Linked DNA regions of Lonchura striata. The protein of the gene in region 2 purifies or fractionates together with the protein of the main gene of each other region. This does not show direct contact. Links are inferred from orthologs where the notes say so. Each region holds a gene or a part of one and is shown on either strand. Other genes may lie near its edges.

Region 1 (7,373 bases), on a different chromosome or scaffold from region 2:
GCCAACCTGAAACAATGCTCATTTTAAACCAGGTATGCTGGGTTTTAAATTCAGGTTGGTATCACCCTGCACCCTGGTGACACAGAGCTGCAGCCCTCACTGTCATGGTCACCTCCAGCAATGACTTTACACAAATGACTCACACAAACCCCTCCCAAACGCAGGAAGATCACCCAGCTCAGGCTGCTCACCGGCCAGCCTGGGAACGTGCCGTTCTCCCACTTCTTCTCAAACTCCGTCTGAATTTTCCCAAAAAGTTCATTCTGGTCCAGTAATGGCTTCACTCGATCTGTGTAATCCTGCAGGTACTCAAGGAGCATTTCAAGATACCTGGAATACAGGGGAATCATGAGCACAGGTAATTCACTGTCACCCTCTAACCACATCTTTGGACAGTCACTACCCTCCAGTGCTGCAGAGGAACGTGACCAAGGCATGGCCAGTTTTCCACAGATTTTTTTGCCATTACAGGTCCAATGGTACATTAAAGCTCTTCCTCTGAGCTGAATGTGTCTTTCCACATCTCTGCTGCACTGCAAGTTTGATTGGGGCTCAGACACATGACTGAGCTCAGGGACATGATTTATGTGAGTTAAGTTTGGCTGTTAATTACAATCTCTGCAGCTGGACACTTCAGAAGCAAATTCCTTCTCACCATAAAGGAAACAGGCAGGCAAACAAGCTTACCTCTTATATTCAGCATTTTTCCTCTCCTTGGGAATATCGAAGAGTTGGTCAAATGTGGATAAGTAAGTGATATAATCCAATTTCTAAGAACAGAAAGTCCGAGTCAGAGCTCATACAAGGCCAGATTAACAACCAGTTCCTAGAAAAGACAAGCCTCAGCCCGGGCAGGGCCTGGAGATCCCTGGGCCCACACACAGCAGACACTCACCTCTGATGATTTCAGGTTGATGTACTTGAGATAACAATCATGCAAATCCAAGTATCGGCCATACCCTTCCTCATCTGTGAACTCCACCAGATCTGTAGGAAAGATCATGAAAAGCTTTATTATGAACTTAATATTCCCTACTTGTATTATACAACTCTTTTTGAACTGGAAAAGGATCAGCTGCAAAGTCATTTATGCTTAAGGAAGGTGCTACAATGTCTCTGACACTCATTGAGCAGCCCCAACTGCTGCTCTGTGCAAGCACCAGAACATTCCTCAGGAACAGCAGCCTCACTGGGGACTGTTCCAGGGACTCCAGTTCAGAACCATTTAGATGACAGGAGAATTTTCAGAAGTCATTTAGTAAAAGGGAGGTGAGGCCCTGAAACACGCAAACCAGATCAAACAGCCTATTAAATAATGCCAGAGCTTGAGCAAACTACAAACTTACTCTGAGCTTCTTCACTCGGGTTGTCTTTGGCCTTCAGCAGCTCCTCAAACTCCACTGACATAGGAACACAGATCTGCAAAGGCAGATACAAGGCACAGAGCGATTTACTTCAGCTCCTGTCCCAGAATAACTACTATAAAATCATGCAAGGTGGCAAATAATGAAATTGCAAACAGAAAAGAGACTCAAAGCTTTGTCACCTTTCTTTCTGCACAAAGGCAAAAGTGTGGCTTTAGCCAGCACAAGAAAGGTGAGATCTGATCCCAGCTCAGCTGAACATCCCTGTTCTAGCAGGGAACAGGGTGAGCATCCTGCACTGCTCCCTGACATGCTGCCTGACCCTGAGCATCTGTGCTGTGTGTTCTCAGTACTTGTGTGTTAAAGCAATAAAACTGGGGAAACAAAACCTCTGTTTCCTTTAGGGATGAGACCCAACAGAGCACAGCACACCTCTTCCTATGGACCAGGTAACTACTCACCTCATTTGGGTGCTTCCGGTGAAATTCCTTAATTTGCTTCAGTCTGTTGTAAAACTCTGCAAATTCATTTGGCCCGGAAATGGCACTGAGTTCTTCCTTACGCAGGCTATGAGTTCACAGACAGCAAGAGATTAGGAAGGGAAGGGAATAAGGGAGCAAAGGAAAGGAAGGGAAAGGAAGGGAAGAAGGGAAGGGGGGAAGGGAAGAAGGGAATAAGGGAAGGAAAGGGAAAGGAAGGGAATAAGGGAATAAGGGAATAAGGGAATAAGGGAAGGGAAGGGAAGGGAAGGGAAGGATGACACTGACACAACCTTAGTCCAGGGCTGTGCTGCAGTGTCTAGACTGCAAACCTTTAAGTCATGGGGACCTCCCAGCCCACCAGGCTCTCATGGTCACAGCCCACACAGGCTGCAGCCCCTGACAAACCCCGGGAGCAGGCAGGGCCTCCCCACGACACAACACAACAAAACCTGCCCATCCTACACGGATGCTCCTGGGTGCACTCGCGTCCTGCCCTGCACTCGGCCGCCACCTCTCCATTCCCGTGTCAGTCTTTAGACACACTGGATCCAGCAGCCCGGCACGCTCCGACACACGAGGGCCCCGGGCACACTCACCCGTCCTTGTCGTCGTACAGGTCCCGCAGGTTGCCGCTCACTTCCATGTACCTCTGCGGAACAAAGGAGCGGCCCGAGTGGCGCCGAGCCCGTCACCGAGCCCGTTATCGAGCCCGTTATCGAGCCCATCATCGAGCCCGTCACCGAGCCCGTCACCGAGCCCGTCACCGAGCCCATCACCGAGCCCGTCACCGAGCCCGTCACCGAGCCCGTCACCGGGACGGGCCCCGGCGGCCCCGGGGAGCCGCCCGGCCCGGCCCGGCCCAGCCCCGCTCCCGCCCGCAGCACTCACGTCCTGCATGGCCCGGGTGCGGTGGTCCGAGTTGATCTGGTCGCGGAGCTGCGGGCAGAGCAGAGCGGTGAGCGCGGGCCCGGGGGAGCCTCCCGCACCCCCCACAAGGCCCCGGGCGCACCGTGGACTTCTTGGTGAGCATCTCCTTCACCATCACGTCCATGAGGCGCTCCCGCTCCTCATGGTAGCGCCGCTGCTGCTCCAGGATCGTCTCCATGCCGCGCTCGGCTCGCAGCCGCCGGCAGGCCGCGGCGAGGCCCCGCTGTGTGGGGAGGTTCCGGTTCCGGGGCGCTGCGCGGGGCCGCGGCGCGGCCGGCAGGAGGCGGCTGCGGCCGTGCCCGAGCGCGGTGTGTGACCGCGGGTTTGTGTCCGACAGCGGTGTCTGACAGCGGGGATGTGTCCGACAGCGGTGTCTGACAGCGGGGCCGTGCCCGAGTACAGTGTCTGAGAGGGGGCCGGTGTCCGACAGCGGTGTCTGAGAGCGGGGCCGTGCCCGAGTACACTGTTCGAGCGGCCGGGCCGTGCCCCTCAGCGCGGGCCGTGCCCCTCAGCGCGGGCCGTGCCCCTCAGCGCGGGCCGTGTCCGAGCGCGGTGTCCAAGCACGGACCGTGTCTGAACGAAGTATGCGAGTGTGGGGCCGTGTCCGTGCGGCAGGGCCGTGTCTGAGTACAGCGTCCGAGTACAGTGTCCGAGTGGCAGAACCGTATCGGAGTGCGGTGTCCGAGCCGCAGGGCTGTGGCCAAGCACAGTGTCTGGGTACAGTGTCCGAGCACAGGGCCGTGTCCGAGCGCAGTGTCCGAGAGCAGGGCCGTGTCCGAGCACAGTGTCCGAGTACAGTGTCCGAGCACAGGGCCGTGTCCGAGCACGGTGTCCAAGTGCAGTGTCCAAGCACGGGGCCGTGTCCGAGCACGGTGTCCGAGCTGCAGGGCTGTGTCCAAGCGCAGTGTCCGAGCACAGGGCCATGTCCGAGCACGGTGTCCGAGCGCAGTGTCCGAGTACAGTGTCCAAGCACAGTGTCCGAGCACAGGGCCGTGTCCGAGCACGGTGTCCGAGCGCACTGTCCGAGCACAGGGCCGTGTCTGAGCACAGTGTCCAAGCACAGTGTCCGAGCACAGGGCCGTGTCCGAGCACAGTGTCCAAGCACAGTGTCCGAGCACAGGGCCGTGTCCAAGCACGGTGTCCGAGCGCACTGTCCGAGCACAGTGTCCAAGCGCAGTGTCCAAGCGCAGTGTCCGAGCACAGTGTCCAAGCACAGTGTCCGAGCGCAGTGTCCGAGCGCAGGGCCGTGTCCGAGCCATGGTGTCAAAGCACAGTGTCTGAGCACAGGGCCCTGTCCGAGCACGGTGTCCAAGCGCAGTGTCCAAGCACAGTGTCCGAGTACAGTGTCCGAGCACAGGGCCGTGTCCGAGCACAGTGTCCAAGCACAGTGTCCGAGCACAGGGCCGTGTCCGAGCACGGTGTCTGAGTACAGTGTTCGAGCACAGGGCCATGTCTGAGCACAGTGTCCGAGTACAGTGTCCAAGCACGGGGCCGTGTCCAAGCGCAGTGTCCAAGCGCAGTGTCCGAGCACAGTGTCCGAGCACAGTGTCCGAGCGCAGTGTCCGAGCGCAGGGCCGTGTCCGAGCCATGGTGTCAAAGCACAGTGTCTGAGCAGAGGGCCGTGTCCAAGCACGGTGTCCGAGCGCACTGTCCGAGCACAGGGCCGTGTCCGAGCACGGTGTCCAAGCGCAGTGTCCGAGCACAGGGCCATGTCCGAGCACGGTGTCCAAGCGCAGTGTCCGAGCGCACTGTCCGAGCACAGGGCCGTGTCTGAGCACGGTGTCCGAGCGCACTGTCCGAGCACAGGGCCGTGTCCGAGCACGGTGTCCAAGCACAGTGTCCGAGCACAGGGCCATGTCCGAGCACGGTGCTTGGTGGCACTGAGTGGCCCGAGGTGCCGGTTTGGATTTAGGGCTGCCCCAGCCTGGAGCCTCCCGGGGTTGCCCGGCCACAGCAGCGCTGTCCAGTGCCCAGCCAGGCCGTGCCGTGCTGGCTCCCCACGGCCGGTGCCTCAGTGCCCAGCAGCACAGACTTTGCTTTCAGCCCCATGTGGGTTTCAACTGCCTTCTTCAGATCCCCCCTAAATCCAAGGGTGCCTTGCCCCAACACTGCCAAATGCAAAGCTGTGATTACATTTTGACTCACTGTATATTAATAAATCATTAATATTTTTCTGCCATGTGCAATAAATTACTCTCAGCCAAAAGCAAGAAAAAAAATTGTCTTAATGGCAGCCAAAGATGATCCTTCAATGAGGATAGGATGATGCTGCAGGTAAGAATACTGTCTTTAATTACTCCCTTGCATTATAGGCAAATTACATCACTTTTCTTCATGAATGCCTGCCTAAAAATAAAAACAGAGATATGATTCTGAGCTTAGTGTTCTTCCATTTCTCTTTGCATGAACCTTCACTCTGGAAAGGGAAGAAGTTGAAATCCAGCAGTGCCCTCTCCAGCCACATGGCCTTCTTATTTTGGACTGCTGGCATCAGGAGGATCAAGGTGGGACAAGACCAGCCCTTGCATGACCACCCTCCTCCTCAGCCCACAGGTGGCAGTGCACATGGGAGGAATTGGGAGAAAGCTGGACTAAGAGATGCTATTTCATTTCAGGGACTGGGAGCTGAAATGCAGAGAATCACAGAATATCCTGAACCCATGAGGATCATCAAAGTCCAACTCCTGGCCCTGCACAGGACTCCCCAGGCAGTGGCTTGTACCTGGCTCTGCCCATTGGGGCTGCAAACGCTGCCCCTGATCCACAGTGGTGCAGGAGGGCATAGCTTGGGCAGATTTGGTCAGTGCCAGGGTCTCTTTCTACCCCTGCAGTGCTGCCCCATGTCCTCAGCAGCTTCCCCCATCCCACCTCACCAGCACAACAGCCCTGGCTTGACCCCCCTCACACCACTCCTTGTGCCTAATAAAATTTCCATGACTGTTTCAGACCCACACTCCAGAGTCTCGGGGGATGTTTGTGCATGACATCACCCTCCCCCTCCTGTAAATCAGGCACTGGGCCATGTACAGCCATGACCCATTCATGACAGGGATAAAATCCAGATGTTTCAGTGCTACGTGCAGCTGGGTCATTTCCTTTTTTGGCTAAAAACGTGAGGCTCTGGAGGCTGACTGAAAGAAGAGCCTGGGGGCCCCTTGTATAGAAACCTTTTGCGGTTAATCCCTGGAAACAGCACTGCAGAAAGCCCGGCTGGAGCTGCTGCTGCTGGAGGACAGGCTCAGCTGGGAACCTCTGGGCTGGAGCTATTCACTCACCCTCCAAGGGCCAGCACAGCACCAGAGCCCAGCCCAGGTCACAGGGCAGCAAGAGCAACAAAAATCGTGCTAGAATTCCATCAGCCAGCAGAGCAGAGCCTTTGAAGCGGCCAGGAATGTGCACACACCAGTGCCATGGTCCTGCAGAGGCACCCCGTGGGCTGTGCCCAGCCTGCCACCACAGCAGCACCCATGGGAGCCTAGCCACTGTGCTGAGAGGGCTGGAGCAGGCAAGTCCAGAGCAAGTCACAGCAGCTGTTGGTAAATGTAAAGGATCTGTGGAAAATAGTTTCATATGTTAGGGAACACATGGCTCCCTGGCTGATAAACATGAGTACAGAGCATGCAGCACTTCAGGGAAGGCTGCCAAGAGGGACCGTGGATATCCTGGCTGGAGGCTGCAGCTACCCCAGGAGTCCCCTTGGAATGCTGTGGCATGGGCAGGCAGTGCACACTGCAGGGCAGGAGGCTGCTCTGCAGCAGGGTTGGCTTGGTACCACAGCCATCCCAACAGTCCCACAGCCAGCCTGCAAAGACAGCAAGGACAGACAGATGGACACCCCCAGCCCCTGGAAGCCACTGCAGCCACGCAGCAGGAGGAGGGAGACGCTGTGGCCACAATCACAGGGCCGGCACGGCTGGTCCTGGGCTGTGGTTTGGGAAGGCAGGCACAAGCACTGCAGAGGTTGCCCGTCCCCAGAATGGGATCAGGGGTGAGGCAAGGCTGAGCAGAGCCCAGCACCCACTCAGCATTCTGCCCTGTGCCTGCTGTTCAAGAGACACAGAAGAGAAAGTGTCACGAAAATGGTTTATTGTATAAAGCTGTAGGAAATACAGAGGACGCTGAGGTTTAGGACAATTCCTTCTGGAAATGGCTCCAAGCTCCTCTCATAATAGCAAACACACAAACTCTGATTTGCTGTCATCAAAACTTCCAAACAAGGATTTAAGAAGGATCTGAATGCAGAGTAGTAACACTTCAACATGCATAACATTTTATGTTTCTAAGTGAAGCCCGGGTGGGGGGCTAGCCCCTTTATCCTGTAGTTGTGTACAAAATGATGGATATTCATGAAAGATGAGTACAAAAGGGAAAAAAACCCACAAGAACAGGTTTTCAGTAAAGCATGTGGCTGACTAAGCAGGAAAGCAGGGTTGGCAAAAGTATCCCAGCGAGACAGAAGCAGAAGGATTTAGAGACGAGGCAGGCATCCCACTGGGAGAGGCCTTAGCCCAGGGCCAGCTCATCCATTGGGCAAGGATTGCACAAGGCCTCATTTGAGTCTGGGATGGCTCAGACACCCGATTTTGCAGTTAGGGCCAAC
Region 2 (6,959 bases):
TCCCAGTAACTCCAGAGCTCCTCCTACCCCGGCTATTCCCAGCCCCCTTCAGCTGCCTCGGCCTCTGGAAGGTGATTAATTAACTAATTAATCCTTAATTAGCACTAATTAATTGTTATTGTTAATTAAAACCCCAAACCAGTAACACAAACCCCACACCAGTAACTCCAAAGCTCCTCCTGCCCTGGGTATTCCCAGCCCCCTGCGGCTGCCTCGGCCTCTGGAGGGTGATTAATGCACTAATTAATCCTTAATTAGCACTAATTAATTGTTATTGTTAATACCCCAAAGCACTAACACAAACCCCAACCCCTGAAATTCCCGTTTTTTCCCCTCCAAATTCCCACATTTTTCCCCCACGTGCCCACATTTTACCCTCTAATTCATGTCTTCTAAACCCAAAATTCCGATTTCCCTTCCTGGAGATCCCCATTTTTCCCAAAATCCCCCCTTTTCACCCCAAAATCCCCATTTTCCCTTTCCAAACTCCCCTTTTTTGAGCCCCTTTTCCCTCAAAAATCCCATTTCTCCCCCAGAAACCCCCATTTTCTCCCCGCAAACCTCCCATTTTTCCCTTTGCAAACCCCCATTTTTCTCAAAATTCCCCCTTTTCACCCCAAATTTCCCATTTTCCCTTCCAAAACTCCAATATTTTCACCCCAAAATCCCCATTTTCCCTTTCCAAGCTCCCATTTTTCACGCCCCAAATTCCTGTGTTTTCCCCCAAACCTCCCATTTTTCCCCCTCAAAACCCCCATTTTCCCCCTCAAAATCCCCGTTTTTCCCCAAATCCCCTTTTTTCACCCCAAAATTCCCCCTTTTTTCACCCCAAAATCCATATTTTCCCCTTTCCAAACTCCCATTTTTAACACCCCAGATTTCCGCGTCATCCCTCAAAAATCCCATTTCTCCCCCCAAAACCCCCATTTCCCCCCTCAACCCCCATTTCCCCCCTCAACCCCCATTTCTCCCCCTCAACCCCCCGTTTTTTCCCAAAATCCCCTTTTTTCACCCCAAAACTCCAATTTTTTTCACCTCAAAATCCCCATTTTCCCATTTCCAAACTCCCCTTTTAAAAGCCCCTTTTCCCACAAAAATCCCATTTCCCCCCCTCAAACCCCCCATTTTTCCCCCCCGAAACTCCCATTTTTTCCCTCAAACCCCCGTTTTTTCCCAAAATCCCCTTTTTTCACCTCAAAATCCCCATTTTCCCCTTTCCAAACTCCCACTTTTCACACCCCAAATTTCCTCATCTTCCCTCAAACCCCCCATTTCCCCCCTCAAAACCCCCATTCCCCCCTCAAACCCCCCATTTCCCCTTTCAAACCCCCCATTTTTTCCCTCAAAACCCTCATTTTTTCCCAAAATCCCCGTTTCTCACCCCAAAATCCCCATTTTCCCCTTTCCAAAGTCCCATTTTCCTGCCTCTTCCCTCAAACCCCCCATTTCCCTCCTCAAACCTCCCATTTCCCCCCCAAAACCTCCCATTTCCCCCCTCAAACCCCCATTTCCGCCCCCTCAAACCCCCCATTTTTTCCCTCAAAACCCCCATTTTTTCCCAAAATCCCCTTTTTCACCCCAAAATCCCCATTTTCCCTTTCCAAAGTCCCATTTTAAAAGCCCCTTTTCCCACAAAAATCCCATTCCCCCCCTCAAACCCCCATTCCCCCCCCTCAAAACCCCCATATTTCCCCTCAAAACCCCCATTTCCCCCCCTCAAGCCTCCCATTTTTCCCCCCGAAACTCCCATTTTCCCCCCTCAAAATCTCCATTTTTTCCCTCAAAGCCCCATTTTTTCCGAAAATCCCCTTTTTCCACACCAAAATTCCCCCGTTTCTCACCCCAAAATCCCCATTTCCCCTTTCCAAGCTCCCACTTTTCACACCCCAAATTTCCGCCTCTTCCCTCAAACCTCCCATTTTCCCCCCCACAAACCTCCCATTTTTCCCCCCCCAAACCCCCATTTCCCCCTTTCAAACCCCCCATTTTTTCCCTCAAAACCCCCATTTTTTCCCAAAATCCCCTTTTTCACCCCAAAATCCCCATTTTCCCTTTCCAAACTCCCCTTTTAAAAGCCCCTTTTCCCACAAACCTCCCATTTCTCCCCCTCAAACCTCCCATTTCCCCCCCAACCCCCCCATTTTTTCCCCTCAAAACCCCCATTTCTCCCCCCTCAACCCCCATTTTTCCCCAAAATCCCCTTTTTTCACCCCAAAATCCCCATTTTCCCCTTTCCAAAGTCCCATTTTCCTGCCTCTTCCCTCAAACTTCCCATTTCCCTCCCTCAAAACCCCCATTTCCCCCCCCAAACTCCCCATATGTCCCCTCAAAACCCCTATTTCCCCCTGAAACCCCCATTTCTCCCCCTCAACCCCCTGTTTTTTCCCAAAATCCCCTTTTTTCACCCCAAAACTCCAATTTTTTTCACCCCAAAATCCCCATTTTCCCTTTCCAAACTCCCCTTTTAAAAGCCCCTTTTCCCACAAAAATCCCATTTCCCCCCTCAAAACCCCCATTTCCCCCCCAAACCCCCCATTTTTCCCCTCAACCCCCATTTTCCCCCTCAAAACCCCCATTTCTCCCCCCTCAACCCCCATTTTTTTCCCAAAATCCCCGTTTCTCACCCCAAAACCCCCATTTCCCCTTTCCAAGCTCCCACTTTTCACACCCCAAATTTCCACCTCTTCCCTCAAACCTCCCATCTCCCCCCCTCAAACCCCCCATTTCCCCCCTCAAACCCCCCATTTTTTCTCTCAAAACCCCCATTTTTTCCCAAAATCCCCGTTTCTCACCCCAAAATCCCCATTTTCCCCTTTCCAAAGTCCCATTTTTTCACATCTTCCCTCAAACCTCCCATTTCCCCCCCTCAAACCTCCCATTTCCCCCCCCAAACTCCCCATATGTCCCCTCAAAACCCCTATTTCCCCCTCAGCCCCCATTTCTCCCCCTCAACCCCCTGTTTTTTCCCAAAATCCCCTTTTTTCACCCCAAAACTCCAATTTTTTTCACCTCAAAATCCCCATTTTCCCCTTTCCAAACTCCCATTTTTCACACCCCAAATTTCCGCCTCTTCCCTCAAACCTCTCATTTTTCCCCCCCAAACCTCCCATTTCCCCCCCCTCAAACCCCCATTTTTCTCTCTGAAACTCCCATTCCCCCCTCAAACCCCCCATTTTTTCCCTCAAAACCCCCATTTTTTCCCAAAATCCCCTTTTTTCACCCCAAAATCCCCATTTTCCCCTTTCCAAAGTCCCATTTTTCCGCCTCTTCCCTCAAACCCCCATTCCCCCCTCAAACCCCCATCCCCCCCCCAAACCCCCATCCCCCCCCCCCCAAACCCCCCACATTCCCCCTCAAACCCCCATTTTTTCCCAAAATCCCCATTTTTCACCCCATTTCTCCGCAGCTACGGCGGCGGCTCGGGCGGCTCCGGCTACGGGCCGGGCGCGGCGGGCGGCGCCTACGCGCAGCAGCCGCAGCCGCAGCCGCAGCCGCAGCCCAGCGGCGCCTACGGCCAGCAGGGCTACGGCCAGCAGGGCTCCTACAACCCGCCCCCGGGCTACGGGCAGCAGGGACACTACGGAGCCGCCTCCTGTGAGTCGCAGTCCCAAAAAAAACGGGAATTTTGGGGCGAAATACGCGGATTTCGGGAAAAATCGGGAGCGGAAACGGTGAAAAAATGGGTTAAAATGGAGCGATTTGGGGTGGAATTCTGAGGCTTCACGTGGGATCAGGTTTTCTGTATTGCACACTGTTACATTTAGGGATTTTAGTGGAATTCCCAAAAAATTTCCAAAAAAATTGGGAATTTTGGGGCGAAATATGAGGAATTTGGGAAAAATCGGGAGCGGAAACGGCGAAATCCGGAGCGAAATCGGCACAATTGGGGAATTCCAGGGTTTGGGATAGAAACAATGGTCCTACAACTGGTTCCAAATTATATCCAGGGATCTGAGTCATGTTCCCAAAAAAAATCGGGAATTTTGGGGTGAAATCCGCAGATTTTGGGCAAAATGGGCTGAAGTTTGGGAGGATTTGGGGTGGGATCAGGTTCCCAAACCCCCCGAGCGGCGCCTACGGGCAGCAGAGCTACGGGCAGCAGGGCTCCTACAACCCGCCCCCGGGCTACGGGCAGCAGGGACACTACGGAGCCGCCTCCTGTGAGTCGCATTCCCAAAAAAAACGGGAATTTTGGGGCGAAATACGAGGATTTTGGGAAAAATCGGGAGCGGAAACGGCGAAATCCAGAGCGAAATCGGCTGATTTTTGGCTGAAATGGGAGGGATTTGGGGTGGAATTCTGAGGCTTCACGTGGGGTCAGGTTTTCTGCATTCCACACTAAGTTATATTCAGGGATTTTAGTGGAATTCCTAAAAAAAATCGGGAATTTTGGGGTGAAATACGCGGAATTTGGGAAAAATCGGGAGCGAAAACGGCGAAATCCGGAGCGAAATCGGCTGATTTTTGGCTGAGATAGGAGGGATTTTGGGGTGGGAATTGGTTTTTCTCCAACTGGTTCCAAATTATATTTACGGATTTTAATGAAATTCCCAAAAAATTCCCCAAAAAATCGGGAATTTTGGGGTGAAATATGAGGATTTTGGGAAAAATCGGGAGCGAAAATGGCGAAAAAATGGGTTAAAATGGAGCGATTTGGGGTGGAATTCTGAGGGTTCACGTGGGATCAGGTTTTCTGCATTCCACACTAAGTTATATCCAGGGATTTTAGTGAAATTCCCAAAAAAATCAGGAATTTTGGGGTGAAATATGAGGAATTTGGGAAAAATCGGGAGCAAAAACGGCGAAATCCGGAGCGAAATCGGCTGATTTTTGGCTGAGATAGGAGGGATTTTGGGGTGGGAATTGGTTTTTCTCCAACTGGTTCCAAATTATATTTACGGATTTTAATGAAATTCCCAAAAAATTCCCCAAAAAATCGGGAATTTTGGGGTGAAATCCGCAGATTTTGGGCAAAATGGGCTGAAGTTTGGGGGGATTTGGGAGGATTTGGGGTGGGATCAGGTTCCCAAACCCCCCGAGCGGCGGCTACGGCCAGCAGGGACACTACGGAGCCGCCTCCTGTGAGTCGCACTCCCAAAAAAAACGGGAATTTTGGGGCGAAATATGAGGATTTTGGGAAAAATCGGGAGCGAAAACGGCGAAATCCGGAGCGAAATCGGCTGATTTTTGGCTGAGATAGGAGGGATTTGGGGTGGAATTCTGAGGCTTCACGTGGGGTCAGGTTTTCTGCATTCCACACTAAGTTATATTCAGGGATTTTAGTGGAATTCCCAAAAAAATCGGGAATTTTGGGGCGAAATACACGGATTTTGGGAAAAATCGGGAGTGAAAACGGTGAAATCCAAAGCGAAATCGGCTGATTTTTGGCTGAGATAGGAGGGATTTGGGGTGGAATTTTGGGATTTGGGGTGGGAACAGTTTTCCTACAACTGGTTCCAAACAATATTTAGGGATCTGAGTCACATTCCCAAAAAAAATCGGGAATTTTGGGGCGAAATATGCGGATTTTGGGCAAAATCGGGAGCGAAAAGTACGAAATCGGAACTGAAATCGGCACAAATGGGGGAATTCCAGGGTTTGGGATAGAAACAATGGTCCTACAACTGGTTCCAAATTATATCCAGGGATCTGAGTCACGTTCCCAAAAAAAATCGGGAATTTTGGGGCGAAATCCGCAGATTTTGGGCAAAATGGGCTGAAGTTTGGGAGGATTTGGGGTGGGATCAGGTTCCCAAACCCCCCGAGCGGCGGCTACGGCCAGCAGGGACACTACGGAGCCGCCTCCTGTGAGTCGCATTCCCAAAAAAATCGGGAATTTTGGGGCGAAATATGAGGAATTTGGGAAAAATCGGGAGCGAAAACGGCGAAATCCGGAGCGAAATCGGCTGATTTTTGGCTGAGATTTTCGGCGTTTGGGGTGGAATTCTGAGGCTTCACGTAGGATCAGGTTTTCTGCATTCCACACTAAGTTATATTCAGGGATTTTAGTGAAATTCCCAAAAAAATGGGGAATTTTGGGGTGAAATATGCGGATTTTGGGAAAAATCGGGAGCGGAAACGGCGAAATCCGGAGCGAAATCGGCTGATTTTGGGCTGAGATAGGAGGGATTTTGGGGTGGGAATTGGTTTTTCTCCAACTGGTTCCAAATTATATTTACGGATTTTAATGAAATTCCCAAAAAATTCCCCAAAAAATCGGGAATTTTGGGGCGAAATCCGCAGATTTTGGGCAAAATGGGCTGAAGTTTGGGGGGATTTGGGAGGATTTGGGGTGGGATCAGGTTCCCAAACCCCCCGAGCGGCGGCTACGGGCAGCAGGGACACTACGGAGCCGCCTCCTGTGAGTCGCACTCCCAAAAAAAACGGGAATTTTGGGGCGAAATACGCGGATTTTGGGAAAAATCGGGAGCGGAAACGGCGAAATCCGGAGCGAAATCGGCTGATTTTTGGCTGAGATAAGGAGGGATTTGGGGTGGAATTCTGAGGCTTCACGTGGGATCAGGTTTTCTGCATTCCACACTAAGTTATATCAAGAGATTTTAGTGGAATTCCCAAAAAATTTCCAAAAGAATTGGGAATTTTGGGGTGAAATATGCGGATTTTGGGAAAAATTGGGAGTGAAAACGGCGAAATCCGGACCAAAATTGGCTGATTTTTGGCTGAAATAGGAGGGATTTTGGGGTGGAATTCTGAGATTTTAGATGGGATCAGTTTTTCTGCATTCCACACTAAGTTATATTCAGGGATTTTAGTGGAATTCCTAAAAAAAATCGGGAATTTTGGGGCGAAATATGAGGATTTTGGGAAAAATCGGGAGCGGAAACGGTGAAAAAATCGGTTAAAATGGAGCGATTTGGGGTGGAATTCTGAGGCTTCACATAGGATCAGGTTTTCTGTATTGCACACTGTTACATTTAGGGATTTTAGCGGAATTCCCA
Region 3 (7,274 bases), on a different chromosome or scaffold from region 2:
GAGAAAAATGAATTAATTACAAATGGAATGAGCAGAGCACACAAGGATCAGGGAAGTGGTGGATAATGCAGAGCCCAGGTCAGGGACTGAGCCAAAGCAAGGGCTGAGAAAAAACAGCCCCAGCAGCTCCTGGGCTCTGCTCCAGCTCTGCTGAACCCCCCAGGCACCGAGCACAGCCCCGGGCAGCTGAGGGACCCCTGAGTGAACAGCAGCTCCAGGAACTCCTGTCCCCTCTGGAAAACACTGCTGGGTACCAGGCAGAGGCACTGCTCAACACCAGGGAACTGCTGCTCAGCCACACCTGCTTCTGGGACCTGGAGAGGAGAATTCAAACTGGGAAAAGCCCTGACAGGCCATGAAGTGGTGAGTGGAGAGAGGAGCCCAAGGAGACCCCCACAGCTCCAGCTGCTCATCCCAAAGAGAGACAACACGCACACACACTGCATGTACAGGGCCATGGACCCTGCCCACCACAATGCACAGACCAACACTACATTTCTACCAGAAAAAGCCAAGGATGCTTTTTATTCCACAGAAAACTCCTTTGACATATGACATCTCCAATTTTAAATGCATTTGGAATTTTTTCCAAGTTTTCTCCCAGCCCTGGTGTCCAAGAAGCTGCTTTGGGCCACAAGCACAGCACAACTGCTGACTGACACAGCACTCTGCACTCAGCCAGCAGCACAAAAATTCCCAATGGAAACTGGAACAGATGGGACCTAATCTGACCTAATCTGAGAGTGGGATCAACCCAAAATGTCCCAGTATGATGTGTGCTACACACTGACTGTGTGGATATTTAACAGGTTGGGCAGAGCAGCTGTGGCTGCTCCATCCTGGAAGTATCCAAGGCCAAGGCTGGACATTGGAGCTTGGAGCAAGCTGGGATAGTGGAAGGTGTCCCTGCCCATGGCAGGGATGGGTTTTAAGGTCCCTTGCGACCCAAACCATTCCAAGAAGGTTTCCTGAGCCACAAGCTGTTGCTATGGAGCTTGATATTAGCCCCTTTTGTGTGCAACCCTACCCTGTGCTGCTGGTGGGGAGGGAAAATGTCTGTGAAACAGTTTGTCCTGCACTTCCTCTTGTTTTGGGTTCAGAACCTGGGAACTGGCTGCTCTCAGGTCAGTGGGACACCAAGCCAGAGCCCAGATGTGCCTCCCCAGCCCCACACTCACTCCATCTCGTAGACAGTGACCGGCAGCGTCTGCTCCATCAGGGAGAACTTCTTGGTTTTCACAGGTTTGATAATGGGCTCTGAAACAAGAGACACAACAACAGACTGTTCCCAGAGCCCCTGAACCAGGAATGGCCCCTGGAATGGGGACTTCAGCTGACAACCCCTCAATTTTGTGGCTGACAGATTCTCCCAGCTGTTTGTCAAGGCTGCAGGAGATGGCCACTGCAGGGCCCTTCCAGCTGAGCCATTCCGGTAAAGGAGATCACTTAACTGCATTTACTTCTCCCTTACACAGCTTTCCCATCTCTGCTGATTCCTGTTCTTCCAAGGTACCTTTGGGTTTGCAAAAACCACAAGTGCCCAAATCTGCACACAACAGGCAGAGCTCCTGAGGCTAGGAGGGGGCTCCAACGGGGCAGGAGAGAAGGGAAGATTATTTCCCTTTCCAAGGATCCATTAAGAGCCTTCTCCTCCCGCCACCTCCTCCCCACTCACCGGTGAGTGGCTGCGTGTCCTCCTCCTGCACAATGGTCTCCACCTCAGGCCCATAGACCTCCTCTGCCGTGGGGTAGTACTTCTTGTCCTCGTGCAGCACCACCTCCATCCCGGGGTGCTCCTCATCGTGCTCCCCCATGTCATCGTCATCGTCATCATCCTCCAGCTGCAACCAAAGCTCGCCCTGAGCGGCTGTGGGGCCCCCCAAGGGGACAGGCCTGGGGTCACCCCGAGCCAGGGACCCCAGTGCAGCCCCAGAGGTGCCCTGGGAGCAGCTCCTGGAGGAGCAGCATGGCTCTGCCCACAGCACAGGATCAGGAACAGCCCCTGGCCTTGCAGGGACACCAGCCCAGGCAGCGACCCCACACAGCACAAGAATCACACCCGGTAACACAACCCACCCCACAGGCCATGGGAAGGGGCTCCCCGCCCCTCTGCTCCCCCCGTGTCCGTGGGGTCTTGCTCTGCCTCTCCCCACCAGGATGCGGCTCCCCGCGGCAGCCTCGGCTCCCTCCCGCCGGACACGGACCCCGCCCGACACCAAACCAGCCGAGCACAGCCCGGCCCGGGAGCTCCCAGCAAGGACTCTGCATCTCCCTTTCTGCAGGAACAGCTTTTGTAATCCTTTAAACACCGGCACACTCCGACCCTCGGGCACTGAGCAGAGCCCAGAGTCACACGGGGCGGCAGCAGCCCGGGCCCGTCCCCGCTCCGGCTCCGGGCAGGACGAACCCCGCCGGCCCCGGGGCTCTTTGCCCCGCCTCACCTCGTCCAGGTCTTTGGCCTCTCGGCCCAGCTCGTCGTCGTCATCGTCCGAGTCCAGCTCGGGCCCGATGTAGTTCCCAAACTCGTCGTACAGGTCGGTGTCCATGCTGGGGGGCGGGAGAGGATCGGTGGGGGCGCAGGGACTGCGGGCCGTGACAGAACCGCCTCAGGGCACGGAGCCCCGGCCCTGTCCGCAGCCTCGGCCCGGTCCCGGTCCCGCTCTCCCTCACCCTCACCGGTCCCAGTCCCGGCCCCGGTCCCGCTCTCCCTCACCGGCCCCGGTCCCACTCCCGGTCCCGGTCCCAGTCCCGTTCCCGGTCCCGCTCTCCCTCACCGGTCCCAGTCCCGTTCCCGGTCCCGGTCCCGCTGTCCCTCACCGGCCCCGGCCCCGGCCCCGTTCCCGCTCTCCCTCACCGGCCCCGGTCCCAGTCCCGTTCCCGGTCCCATTCCCATTCCCAGTCCCGTTCCCGGTCCCGCTCTCCCTCACCTGCCCCGGCTCCGCTCCCGCCGCTGCTCTCGCCGGCGCCGCCGCTGCCGAAGGGCCCCGGGCCGCCCTCGCCGCCTGTCGCCACAGAGCGTTCCGCGCCCGTCGCCAGCGCCGCGCCCCTCCGAGGAGCGCCGGCTGAGTCCGGAGCGGGGTCGGGACCGGGTCGGGACCGGTTCCGGAGCATCCCGAGGGCCGCGGGGCGAGCGGGGCCGCGCGGGGCGGCGGGGCCGGTCCTGTCAGGCGCGGCCGGGGCAGCCCCGGGGACCTTGCGTGGCCCCGGCGCTCTGGCGGCGGGAGCGGCGCTGTCGCGATAGAGCGCGGCCGTGGGCTGAGGTGTTCGTCACCCGCGGCGCTGTCGCGATAGAGAGCGGCCCTGGGCTGAGGTGTTCGTCACCCGCGGGGCTGTCGCGATAGACCGCGGCCGTGGGCTGAGGTGTTCGTCACCCGCGGGGCTGTCGCGATAGAGAGCAGCCCTGGGCTGAGGTGTTCGTCACCCGCGGGGCTGTCGCGACACAGCAAGGGGCCCCGGGGCCGGCGGTGTGTCAGGGCCTGGGGAGTTTCGGGCAGGGGAGCGCTTCCCAGTGGCCATCCCCGTGCGCGGCCTTGGGGCTCACAAGGCAGGACTGTCGCGATAGGATCGGGGCTGTCGGGCCAGTCCCGGCAGCGCTGTTGTGACAGAAGTGTGTCCTCGAAGCCACCGCAGGCAGGGCTGTCCCTGTCCGCACGTCCCGCAGGTGCCTGCCCGCGGCCCGGGATGGAGCCGGGGATGGAGCCCGGGATGGATCCGGCCGGAGCGTTCCCGGCGCTGGAGCGGGAGCTGCGGGCGGCGCTGGCGGAGGACGAGCGGCGGCAGCGGGAGGGCGAGGCCAAGCTGCGGGCGCTCCGCCAGGGCGTCCCCGACTACGACCAGTTCAGGTCCGGGGCTCGGGGAGCGGCCCGGGAGGGGCCGGGAGCTCGGCTGGGCGCTCCCCCCGGGTCTGAGCTCAGCTCTGAGGGTCTGAGGCTGCCCCGAGGGACCCGAGGGCAGCGGCCCCGGGGTGCCCTGAACAGCCCCGGGGCAGAGCCCACCCGGCCGTGGTTGAGACTTGGCCCAGAGCTCCTCAGGTGGCCCCGTGTGGGCTGAGATCTGTCTCTGCTCCGTGCCTGACCCCTGTGGTGGCCCAGCTGTAGCCAGCAGTGGAGTGGCACTGTCCCCTCCCCAGGACAATGTCACCTTTTCCCGTTCCCAGCCCAGCCCCACAGCCCCAGGCTGTGCTGGCAGAGCAGGAGCAGAGGGTGACGTGTCCCCTGTGCCCTTCCCAGCCTGTCCCTGCTCCCTGGAGTGTCACTGCTGTGGCCGGGGCTTGTGAGCAGGCTGGGATGGCAGGGCGGCTCCACGGGGCAGTGTTAGGCACTCCCAGTGCCCCCCAAACTCCTGGGTTTCCCGTGGATCCCTCTGGGGGCTCCCTGTCCATCTCCATCCAGGATCCAAAGGTAGATCCAGGGCTTTGACCACACTTGGGAGGCATTCTGGGACCAGCTCAAATTCCATTCATGGATTCATGTCTGTCTCATTCCCCCCTGCCACCTGATCCCCGAGGAGCAGGAAAACACTTTCAAGTGGCTTCTCCCCAAGTATCTTGATGGGATTCCCCAGGGATTTTAAGGTGGTTTATCCTTGTATTAGTCAGGGCCCGCTCCTCCAGCCTGTCCAGCCCCTATAGGTGATCCACACAGCCCAAAGTCAGAAATTGGCTCAGGGGAGCAGCTTGAAGCCTCAAAGTGTTTTCTCTTGCCATGTGTCCCTCCTGTCTCTGTTCCCTTTAGGGAGATTGTGCTGGCTTCTCACCTGAAGCCTCTGGAGAAGGAGGACAGGCTGGGACAGAGGAGGAATGTGCTGTGGAATCCCTGTGCAGCCCCAGCCCAGGCAGCACCTGCCCACGCTGTGGAGATCCCACAGGTGAGGGAGAGGCTGCTGGGGCCTCATCCACAGCTGGGAATGACTCAGGAATCATCTGGGTGTTAATTGGAATGCAGGAGTTACTCAGGATTCACTCTGGGTGTGAGCCAACGCTCCAGCCCCTTGAATATCAGAATTTGGGTCAACATGGGGTCAGGCTGGGCCTCTTCAGGGAGAGTCTGCTCCATCCCTGTGGGAATGGAGGCCTGGCTGCACAGCCTGGCCCCAGAGCTCCCAGTGCCCCCGTGCTGGGACAGGAACAGTCCGTGGGAGCTGTCCCTGGCTGGGAGCTGCTCCCAGCAGCTGCAGCCTGACCCAGGGCCAGGCCTGCACCAGGATCCTCCCTGGGACAGCCTCTGGCTGCAGAGGTTCCTGAGCACAGGGAATTGCCCGTGGTTTAATGATCATGGAAAAGAACTGGCTTGGGTTAATCCTGCCCAAGCCTGATCAGCTCACTGGGTCCCTCAGCAGTGGGAAACAGGGACAGGACATTTTCTGTCCAAGCCATTTGTGATTGGAGTCACCTCCTGCCCCTGCTGTGGGCTCTGTCCATGCTGGAGTGTCCTGGTCACTGGATGTTTCCCATGATAAGGCAATTTCATGGATTGCCTTATAAACAATCTCGAGGATTGTTTATGATGCTGGGTTTCATTGACCTGTGTTTATTGTAAGATCTTTTGCAACTCTCCTGAGTAGTTCTGTGTTTGCTTGGACTGAGCAGTGATCTCCCCAAGCAAATCCTGCTCCTGGTTCCATCAGCACCAGGCTCAGATCTCCGGAGCTTCTCCACCTGTGCTCAGCCCCAGCTGGTGTCACTTTGCTTTGTTCCCTGGCTGTAGAAAAGCTGCACATTTCCCTCCTCCTCCAGCCTGTGTGTTGGTGACCCAGCAGGGCTGGGCTCAGCAGTTCATTGGAGCTGGTATAAAATGGGATTTCCTCTACCTGGGAATGCCACTTGGAGCTCAGCTCTTAGCCTCTGCTCTGGCAGACACCCACCAAAGCCAGGTGGTACCAGAAAGGGCATCTGGACATTTTCTGTGGTTTGCATCTCCCACCTTTGCTCTGCCACCCCCTGGTTTTTCCTCTGTGTGCTCAGAGTGTTTCCTGCCCTGATCTCTCTGAGATCCCTTCCCAGGCAGTGCTGCTGGATCCAGGCTGGGCAGAGTCTGACTCTGGCTGGGGCTGGGGCCACTCCACAGCCATCTGTGCTCACCCTGGGTGTCACACCTCATCCACACGTCCCTTTTCCCCTGGAGTTCCCTGGTTTCTCGGGGTTAAAGGCACCTGCCGTTTCCTTGTTTTCCCCTTTTCCCCCTCAGCAGCTCCTTGTGCTGCCAAAGCCCCTGGTAAAAACATCTCAGCTGTCCATCAAAGGGCTCAAAGTCTTCAGGTGGGAACAAAACAAAAGGACCTGAGTGTCTCCTTTCTCCTCCAGGAGCTGGATCAGCTGCCTGGCACTGCTGCAGAATTTCACCGAGATTGGCGCAGATGCTTGAAAAGTGGGACAGAGAAATACCAGTTCTTGCTGGAGCTCGGAGGGGAGGCCTTGGGCAGGATCTTCCAGGCTGATGTGGGCTTTGGCCTCCTGGGGGAATTCCTGACAGTGCTGGCAGAGAACATCCATCCTGGAGACAGAGCTGCCGTCCTTCAGGTCCTGCAGAGCCTGGCGGGCACCAAGCGCTTCGGGCTGAACGTGGCTCTCCTGAGCCAGGCGGAGAAGGAGAGCAGCCAGGATTTGTTCAGGAAGCTGCAGAGCAGGGATTGCCAGGCTGCTGGCCAGCCCAGCTGCCTGGCCAGCTGTGAGGCAGGGAGGGAAGCCTTTCCCCTGGAAACTGAGGAGGAGAGGACAGTAGTGGAGCTGATGAAGTGTTACCAGGTCAGCTGAGGGAGCAGGAGCACCAGGATTGAGCAGAAACAGGGTAAAAAAGGCTCAGAAAAAACTCAAAGCTTGACTTTGGCACCCCCCAGGGCACAAGTTCTGCACAATAAAGTTTAGCTCCCAGGCTGTGGTGCTGTGATCTCTGAGCAGGGTGTCCTCACAGATGGGTGTGGCAGAGTCTCTTGGATGAGGAGAAAACCAAGGGAAAGAAAACAGGGTGGTAGTTTTGAAGGAGAAATCCTTAAAACTCTTAAAACAGCCTCTTCACATAGTACTTGTTGTCTGAAGAACAATAATTGTGTTTCTCCTCTTGTGGTTACACTTCTGTTCTGCTTTTCTGGGTGATCTAGGGAAAACATTATAACCTCCTTTCTCATGAGAATGGGAAGAGTCAAGGCACTTCTTGAAGCTTCTGGTCTGAGGTCTGCATATGAAAAGGTAACAGTAAAATGAGGAGAGGACTGTGGTGAAAGATCTCCATCTGGCTTTAGTGGTATCACACACCCACTAGTGATAAAACCCAGATAGT

Evidence for each region. The genes of interacting proteins can lie anywhere in the genome.
Region 1: the proteins of RNA-binding protein FUS-like (region 2) and SF3A3 purify together in Homo sapiens (affinity purification with mass spectrometry; 3 studies listed by BioGRID and IntAct, with this or other methods). This does not show direct contact. The link is inferred for Lonchura striata from reciprocal best matches to the Homo sapiens genes FUS and SF3A3.
Region 3: the proteins of RNA-binding protein FUS-like (region 2) and EFTUD2 purify together in Homo sapiens (affinity purification with mass spectrometry; 3 studies listed by BioGRID and IntAct, with this or other methods). This does not show direct contact. The link is inferred for Lonchura striata from reciprocal best matches to the Homo sapiens genes FUS and EFTUD2.

The regions. Positions count from the first base shown.
Region 1 is NC_134628.1:4,815,455-4,822,827, forward strand, and holds the start of SF3A3 (splicing factor 3A subunit 3), read right to left. Parts: upstream 3,014-7,373; 5' UTR 2,952-3,013; coding exon 2,856-2,951; intron 2,783-2,855; coding exon 2,735-2,782; intron 2,496-2,734; coding exon 2,443-2,495; intron 1,932-2,442; coding exon 1,826-1,931; intron 1,420-1,825; coding exon 1,347-1,419; intron 988-1,346; coding exon 896-987; intron 771-895; coding exon 688-770; intron 331-687; coding exon 192-330; intron 1-191. UniProt on the Homo sapiens protein: Component of the 17S U2 SnRNP complex of the spliceosome, a large ribonucleoprotein complex that removes introns from transcribed pre-mRNAs.
Region 2 is NC_134637.1:542,517-549,475, reverse strand, and holds the start of RNA-binding protein FUS-like, read left to right. Parts: upstream 1-3,958; coding exon 3,959-4,160; intron 4,161-6,959. Other genes in the region: uncharacterized protein LOC144247894, read left to right, coding at 3,407-3,716. UniProt on the Homo sapiens protein: DNA/RNA-binding protein that plays a role in various cellular processes such as transcription regulation, RNA splicing, RNA transport, DNA repair and damage response. Binds to ssRNA containing the consensus sequence 5'-AGGUAA-3'.
Region 3 is NC_134627.1:2,895,424-2,902,697, reverse strand, and holds the start of EFTUD2 (116 kDa U5 small nuclear ribonucleoprotein component), read right to left. Parts: upstream 3,014-7,274; 5' UTR 2,928-3,013; intron 2,548-2,927; 5' UTR 2,547-2,547; coding exon 2,442-2,546; intron 1,842-2,441; coding exon 1,676-1,841; intron 1,258-1,675; coding exon 1,179-1,257; intron 1-1,178. Other genes in the region: DNAAF19 (dynein axonemal assembly factor 19), read left to right, coding at 3,682-3,842, 4,734-4,866, 6,302-6,751. UniProt on the Homo sapiens protein: Required for pre-mRNA splicing as component of the spliceosome, including pre-catalytic, catalytic and post-catalytic spliceosomal complexes. Component of the U5 snRNP and the U4/U6-U5 tri-snRNP complex, a building block of the spliceosome.